2 linked regions of the Macaca fascicularis genome follow. The protein of the gene in region 1 interacts with the protein of each later gene in a pairwise test. Links are inferred from orthologs where the notes say so. Each region holds a gene or a part of one and is shown in the gene's direction. Other genes may lie near its edges.

Region 1 (3,816 bases):
CTGTATGAAGATAAACATCTGGAGCCATTAATTCTGGTTCTAACTAACAGGATTGGTGACTATACTGTAAGGTTGAGTGTATAGCATGATTGCTTTACCACTGTGTGATACCTGTTGCCACCATCTTAGTGGCCCAGTCTCAGGGCTGTGCACAGATTCATCGCTAAGGACCTTTATGATATGTGTTCTCTAATCTGGGCTCACTGTGAAGGAAATCCGATCACCAAAAGCTAGTCTTGACAGAGGGAGCATGGACAAAGCTCCTGGCCCTCATGCTTCAGCAAGGATGAGAATAGATGCAAATGTTGATAAACATCCTGCCATGCTGAATCTCCCAGAAGCTGGTAGGAATTATTCCATCTGGGTATCCATCAACATCTAAGACTTGTGGGAATTACTCTATTTGGGTATCCATCAATATCTAAGACCAGGGTAACTCTCTTCTTTGGGAAAAGCAAAGAAGAATAGCTCTGCATGACAAGCCCCATGAAATACTGATGTTCCCATGCTCACCTTTTCTTTTTGTTTCTTTATAGAATGTGAATGACACTTTGAGCAGGTAAGTCCTGTATGAATGCAGGAGGGGAGGGGCATGTGTATATAGAACTGGATGGAATGCACCTCTGAAGAAATCTCTGGCCTCTGGTTGTTCTAGGAGTTGGGCTGTGAAACTGGAAACATCAGAGGCCGTCTCCTTGGAACTTCATACTATGTGCAATGTTTCTGAGCTTTACTTTGATGTGAAGAAAATGTTAAGCAGTCATCGAGGTATGTGCACTAAAGAATTTCTAAATACTGTGGATGGAAGGGGCCTTATGCAGTAACCAAGTTTACCACCTGTCCCTCAGCAGGCTCACAGCCAGAGAGGTTGTTTAGTTAATTTCAGTAGTGCCTTCATACCTTCTCTAGTTAGTATGATTCACTGCTTAGATGTGAGTGAGCATTGCATTCTGGTTATCTGCACAAACCTTTCAAATTCTTATTCTTTCACTTATTACCCATGTTACTCCAAGTGACTTGGTTTTCCCCTCTGAAAAATGAAAATATTAACAGCCCCCACTTCATTGAGTTGTCATCAAAATTAAATGCATCAACATGTACAAAGTGCTTAGCACCGTAACTGATAGATGATCATAATACCACATCCTGGTATTAGATCTGATCATAGTGTTTATTATTAATAGATCAGCCAACTCTTAGAGCAATGCAAGAAAGGTAGGTGAGTATGACAGCCTATCATTCACATATTTTAGGAACTTGACTTAGATAACACAGATGATAAATGTTACAACCAATTTACAGATTCCGAAATGTTAGAACCATTTACTGAATTTCCTGCTCCCTTGATTTTTTTAAATCAGTACTGACCATACTTTCACAAATTTGTATTCATAAGTACAAAATCAAAAAATCCCTGAAAATGGAAAGTTTTATCATGATTCATTGGGCTGCAAAAATGTGGCCTAACCTGAAATGATTTGGTGGTTACATTAGTTATCTGTTAGTACAAACAAATTACCATAATTTAGAACCTTAATACAACACCCATATATTATCTCAATTTTTGTGGTTCAGGAATCTGGGCACAGCTTAGTTGGGCCCACTGCTTAGGGTCTGACAAGGCTGCAATTAAGATACTGGTCAGGCTGTGTTCTTACCTGGAGGCTAGGCTGAGGAAGAATCCACTTCCAAGCTCACTGAGGTAGCAGGCAGAATTTCTTTCCTGATGGTTGCAGGACTTTGGGCCCTGGTTATTTCTGGCTATTGGCTGGAGGTTGCCCTCAGCTTCTACAGGCCACCCCTCAGCTCTTTGCACACGGGCGTCTAACGTGGCCAGTTATTTCTTCAGAGAGAGCTCAGGAGACAGACTCTTTAGAGAAAATCTGATAGCAAGATGGAGTCTTACATAATGAAATGTAATCTTAGAAATTATATTCCATCATCTTTGCCATATCCTATTGGTCAAAAGCAATTCATAAGCCCTTCTCACACTCAAAGACAAGCAATTTTATGAGAGTGTGAACACTAAGAGGCAGAAATCATAGAAGGCCACCCTTGAGTCTGTCTTCCACAGTGGCCAACCCTGAACTGCACTGAGATGAGACTATTTAAAAGTCTTTATTTATCCCACTTAATTTGAATAAATGTTTTGCTGCAGATATATTGATGAATTTGATTACAAGGCTCTGCCTTAGGCCCTGATGGGGTTGAAATTTAGAGTATATGCATTTTTTTTTTTTTTTTGCCTTTATAACTTCTAAACTAATTTGAATTGCAAAGCCCATTTTGTTCCAGGGATTTCAGATAAGGAATTATAGACCTGTGTTCCCCTCAAATACACAACAACAAACAACAACAAAACCCAAAAGCACTCTGTATTTCATCCTATACAGATGACAGGAAGGAAGAACAAGACTTTGTGTAAGTTTTGCTGGGATTTCACTGAGTTAATTTGCCTCCTCTCATCTTTTACAGAAGGAATCATAATACGGTTCAAGTGAAACTCTTTTTTTTTTTTTTTTTGAGACAGAGTCTCACTCTGTCGCCCAGACTGGAGTGCAGAGGCGTGATCTCAGCTCACTGCAAGCTCCACCTTCTGGGTCAAGTGAAATTATTTCGTAAATGGGCTTATCTTTTAACGAAATATTTCTCCCCTCTTAAACACTGTTTATTAAAATTTTTCTTTTTTTAAAATTTTTTTTGAGATGGAGTCTCGCTCTGTTGCCCAGGCTGGCTTGCAGTGGCACAGTCTCAGCTCACTGCAGCCTCTGCCTCCCGGGTTCCAGTGCCTCAGCCTCCAGGGTAGCTGGGATTACAGGTACGTACCACCACCCCTGGCTGATTTTTGTATTTTTAGTAGAGATGAGGTTTCACAATGTTGGCTAGGCTGGTCTTGAACTCCTGACCTCACGTGATCTGCCCACCTCAGCCTCCCAAAGTGCTAGGATTACAAGTGTGAGCCACTGCACCTGGCCTAAAATTTCTCTTATTACAAAAGTGATATGAATAAATTTTATTTTTATTTTTAAATGTATGTTTATTTATTTTATTTTACATTGCCTTCAAGCAGATGCAACAAATAAATTTTAATCAGTCAAACAATATAAAGAATATAAACAGAAAGTTCAAGGTTTCTCCCACCCCTCTCCAATCTGACTTCTCTAGGTAGGGTAACCTATATCTTTCCCTAAGTTTGTACAAACATGTAATATATATAATCTGTCTCTTCTATGTTACTCATTACTTTTTTATGTCTAATATTCCATAAGTATATAATAAATATATGTAACCATATCCCTACTGATGGAGCTTCAGGCTGTTTCTAGAACTTAGTTATTACAACATTGCTACAAAAACTTTCTAGTCCATGCACCCTTTTATCCTGGTACTTTCATTTCTTTTGGGAGCATACCCCAAACCGGGATTGCTGAGGTTGTTGTTAATCTTAATATATGGTACCATATTACTTGACTCAAAGTTGTAACATAACTCCTACCAGCACCAGGAATAATGACCCACATATACTGAACACTTTTTTAGTCTGTGACAGATTAGAAAAGCTTTACTTTTCTTGGTTTTTGTTTTATTATATCACAGTCCTCTCTATATGGGGCATTTTTGCTTTATAGATAAGGAAATATGACAGAGAGAGGTTAAGTGAGTGTTGTAGGATCTCATAACTAGAAGGTAGGCGTAGAAAGAGTCTAGAATCTAGAAAGCACTCTCTTACCATTCTGCAATGTGGCAGAAAATACAAAGTGTTATTTACTTATCTCTTTTAGACAGGTTCTTACTCTGTCACCCAGGCTGGAGTGC
Region 2 (4,323 bases), on another chromosome or scaffold:
AAAAAAAAGCCGGGTGCGGTGGCTCACACCTGTAATCCCAGCACTTTGGGAGGCCGAGGCGGGTGGATCACGAGGTCAGGAGATTAAGACCATACTGGCTAACATGGTGAAAACCCGTCTCTACTAAAAATACAAAAAATGAGCTGTGCATGGTGGTGGGCACCTGTAGTCCCAGCTCCTTGGGAGGCTGAGGCAGGAGAATGGTGTGAACCCGGGAGGCAGAGGTTGCAGTGAGCCGAGATCGCCGCTGTACTCCAGCCTGGGCAACAGAGCGAGATTCCGTCTCAAAAAAAAAAAAAAAAAAAAAAAAGACTTCAGTATGGATGCTTTGCATGCTCATTGCTGGAAAATACAGACCAGGCCAGGCATGGTGGCTCACGCCTGTAATCCCAGCACTTTGGGAGGCTGAGACGGGTGGATCACTTGAGGTCAGGAGTTCGAAACCAGCCTGTCCAACATGGTGAAATCCCGTCTCTACTAAAAATACAAAAATTAGCCAGGCGTGGTGGCACGCACCTGTACTCCCAGCTACTCCGGAGGCTGAGGCAGAGAATCGCTTGAACCTGGGAGGCAGAGGTTGCAGTGAGTCAAGATCGTGCCACTGTACTCCAGCTTTCGTGACAAAGCGAGACTCCAAAAAAAGAAAAGAAAATACAGACCGATAAAAAAGAAGAAAATAAAAGCGATCTAGAATTCTCCTCGCTTCAGGAAAAAAACTAAAATGTTGATATCGATTCTCCTCAGTATCTCAGATCACAGAGACCCTGTCCTCTGTGTTCATGAACTAGATCCTTCCAGCGACACAGATTAACCCAACTGGAAGTTTCTGTTTGTTTTTCTCTGGAGATGTTTTCTGGAGGTTGGTTCTCCAAATTTTGTTGGGTGAGGGACACGGATTCTGGAGACAGGTAGGTTGCAGTTGTGTTTGTTTGGGGTTGTTTTCGTTTCCAAACATTCACCTCCCAGCTTTGGGGCCGAGAGGTATCGCGAGCCTTTTTTCACAAGGGCGTCTATATTCAAGACCCAACCGTGTTACTCCGGGCTGTTTTTTTCTTAGATATTTTTTTTTTTTTTTTTTTAGCCCCGGCAGCTTTTGTTCCTTTGAACGTAAGGGTTTGAAGCTTGGCGATGGAGGAATTGGCTTTGGCCGTGCGATCTTAATATGTAATGATGACTGGGGCTGCAGGGGGCCCTGCCTTTCCCGCTTCCCTGCTCTGAAAGCGCCTGGGTATCTAAGAGCTCAGAGCAGGCTGGAGGGGCGGAGCTTGGAGGAAGGCCGGCGGCCCGCGCCTCCCGGTAACCTAGCAACCGGCGCCCTAGCAACGCGAGGGGGCGGGACCGAGGGAGGAAGTCGGAAACTGGTGGCTACGGCTCGCGAGAGTTGCTTTTGCGCGCGAACTCTAAGTGCCAGGGTCGAACTCAGGGCCGGGTCGCGGCTGGTCACTGGACAGGGGCTTGGGTGACGCGACGATCTCAGCTGATCTGGTCACCTTCGTCTCCCCGCCATGGAGACCTCAGCGCTCAAGCAGCAGGAGCTGCCCGCGGCGGCCAAGATCAGGAACCTGCCCTGGTAGGAAGAGGCCGAGCGGCGGCTGTGGGCAGAGGGGGCCGGGCAGCCGCGCGGGGAGGAGGTGGCTGGAGTGGGCAGGTGATCGGACCCCAACCCGACCTCTTCCCGTCTCCCCCGGGCCTGCAGCCGGGACCGAGCCGCAAAGGTTTTCTCCGACACCCCCCAGCTCCCCAGACTCGTCCGTCTGTTTAGGACTTTTGCCAGCTGTCACCCTTTGACGCCCAGCTCCATTTGCCGAAGAAGAAGTCGGCTTTCGCACCTCGTGACAGCACAGGGGTTCGATTCCGTGTCTCCTGACACCTGCAATGGCCTCCATGCCAAAGTGCCCTCTTCCCACTCTTCAAAACCTGCGATGCGACTACTGGTCACATTTTAAATTAGTAATAAGGCTCCCTGGTCAACTTTTATTGGATGGCATATTATTAGATTAGCAGACGCCCTGTTAGATGTTCGATCCTTACAAAGACCGTAAGAGGTAGGCACCGCTTCAAATTTTACACAGGAGGAAACTGCATTTTAGAAGGGTTAAATGACTTCCCTATGGTCCAAGGCTAAAAAATTGGCTTGGAGGTGAATTAGGAAGTCTGAATTCAGAGCTTGTACTCTTAACCATCCTACTTCAACAACTGTGTTCTAGCAATGCTTTCAAGACTTTGAAGCAATTTGGCTTGGCTTCGAAAAGCTCCAAGTTGTCATTGTCTAGTAACTAGTTTAAAAAAAATTGTTTTTTTGAGACGGAGTCTCCCTCTGTTGCTGGAGTGCAGTGGCGCGATCTCAGCTCCCTGCAACCTCCGCCTCCTGGATTCAAGCAGTTCCCTACCTCAGCCTCCTGAGTAGCTGGGATTACAGAAGCCTGCCACCACGCCCGGCTAATTTTTGTATTTTTAGTAGAGACGAGGTTTCACCGTATTGTCCAGGCTGGTCTTGAACTCCAGACCTCGTGATCCACCCGCCTCGGCCTCCCAAAGTGCTGGGATTACAGGCTTGAGCCACCGTGGCCGGCCAATTTGTTTTTATTGTGGTTAAAAAAACCCAGAAGATTGACAGTTGTAACTATTTCATGTATTTACATATTTTTTTTTTAGAGACAGGGTCTTGCTCTGTCGCCCAGGCTGGAGTGCAGTGGCGTGATTACAGCTCAGTGTCACCTCAAACATTGGAGTTCAAGCCATTCTCCTGCCTCAGCCTCCAAAAAACTGGGACTTTTGGAGGCGAGCTACCAAGCCCATCCTGTAACCATTTTAAAATGTACAATTCAGCGGCATTAAGTACATTCCGAATGCAGTGGACTGTTGTGGAGTCTTCCCACTATCTAGTTCCAAAATTTCATCACCCCAAATAGAAATCCTGTGCCCATTGACAGTTACTCCCCATTCTCCCCTTCCTCTAGCCCCTGGCAACCACTAATCTACTTTCTGTCTCTATGGATTTGCCTATTCTGGACATTTCATGTAAGTGGAATCCTACACTATGTGGCCTTTTGTGTCTGGTTTCTTTCACTCAGCATCATGTTTTCAAGGTTCATGCATGTTGCTGCTTGCATCAGTAGTTCATTTCTTGTTATGGCTGAATCATATTCTATTGTGTGGACAGAAGAGGTTTTACCTATCCATTCTTCTGTTGAAGGCTATTTGGGTAGGAGTTCAGTTTCAAATGCACTTTGAAATAGTAGGTGCCCATCAGGTTGAGATTATAGACAAACAGCTGGAAAGATGAAATTAGAACAGAGTTCATCCTCGGCACTATTGACATTTTGGGCAAGATACTCTGGGTGGGTTTGGGGGAGCTGTCCTGTGCACTGTAGCATGTTTAACAGCATTCCTAGAGATTACACACTAAGTGCCATAGGACCCTCTGCTCACCTGTGACAACTAAATATGTTTCCAGATATCACGAGATGTTCCTGGGAGGACAAAATCACCCCTGGTTGAGAACCACTGGTCTGTGTTCAAACTTAAAGTGCTTTGTTTTTCTTGCTTTTTAAATTAGGATATGAAAGGATTCTTTTTTTTTTTTTTTTTTTTTTTGATACAGGGTCTCACTCTGTCGCCCAGGCTGGAATGCTGGAGTGCAGTGGTGCAGTCTCGGTTCACTGCAACCTCCGCCTCCCAGGTTCAAGCAGTTCTCCCATGTCAGCCTCCTGAGTAGGTGGGGCTGCATTGGTATGCCACCATACCCAGCTAATTTTTGTATTTTTGGGTATTTTTTATTGAATGGCATATTATTGGGTTAGCAGACGCCCTGTTAGATGTTCGATCTTTACAAAGACCCTAGGAGGTGGCCATAGAGACAGGGTTTTTTCATGTTGGTCGGTCTGGTTGGTCTTGAACTCCTGACCCCAAATGATCCACCCGCCTCGGCCTCCCAAAGTGGTGGGATTACAGGTGTAAGCCGCTGTGCCTGACCTGCAAGGATTCTTTTACACATAAAATATTCTTGCATGTATATATGTCATAATACATACTAAATTGTATTTCAGGGTTGAAAAATACCGGCCACAGACCCTGAATGATCTCATTTCTCATCAGGACATTCTGAGTACCAGTAAGTATCCATGTGTCAGTTGCTCTTGTCCTGGTTGAGGGACCTGTGTGAATTTCTTGGTGAGGTCTCTCCTAAGTAATAACTTCAAAGAATCTGATTGAGCTTTGTAGAATGTGGCTTTAAGATCATTCATTCATCTTCTTCAGATAGCTGCAGTCTAGTGGGTAAGTCACGAACATGAGCATAAAATTGCAACTCAGTGGAGTAAA

What was found.
Region 2: the proteins of TRIM38 (region 1) and RFC5 interact in binary tests that used the Homo sapiens proteins (3 or more experiments, as listed by UniProt). The link is inferred for Macaca fascicularis from reciprocal best matches to the Homo sapiens genes TRIM38 and RFC5.

Annotation. Positions count from the first base shown.
Region 1 is NC_088378.1:146,954,047-146,957,862, reverse strand, and holds part of TRIM38 (E3 ubiquitin-protein ligase TRIM38), read left to right. Parts: intron 1-536; coding exon 537-559; intron 560-655; coding exon 656-768; intron 769-2,280; exon of another isoform or gene 2,281-2,818; intron 2,819-3,816. UniProt on the Homo sapiens protein: E3 ubiquitin-protein and E3 SUMO-protein ligase that acts as a regulator of innate immunity. Acts as a negative regulator of type I interferon IFN-beta production by catalyzing 'Lys-48'-linked polyubiquitination of AZI2/NAP1, leading to its degradation.
Region 2 is NC_088385.1:124,992,938-124,997,260, forward strand, and holds the start of RFC5 (replication factor C subunit 5), read left to right. Parts: upstream 1-1,383; 5' UTR 1,384-1,505; coding exon 1,506-1,570; intron 1,571-4,049; coding exon 4,050-4,114; intron 4,115-4,323. UniProt on the Homo sapiens protein: Subunit of the replication factor C (RFC) complex which acts during elongation of primed DNA templates by DNA polymerases delta and epsilon, and is necessary for ATP-dependent loading of proliferating cell nuclear antigen (PCNA) onto primed DNA.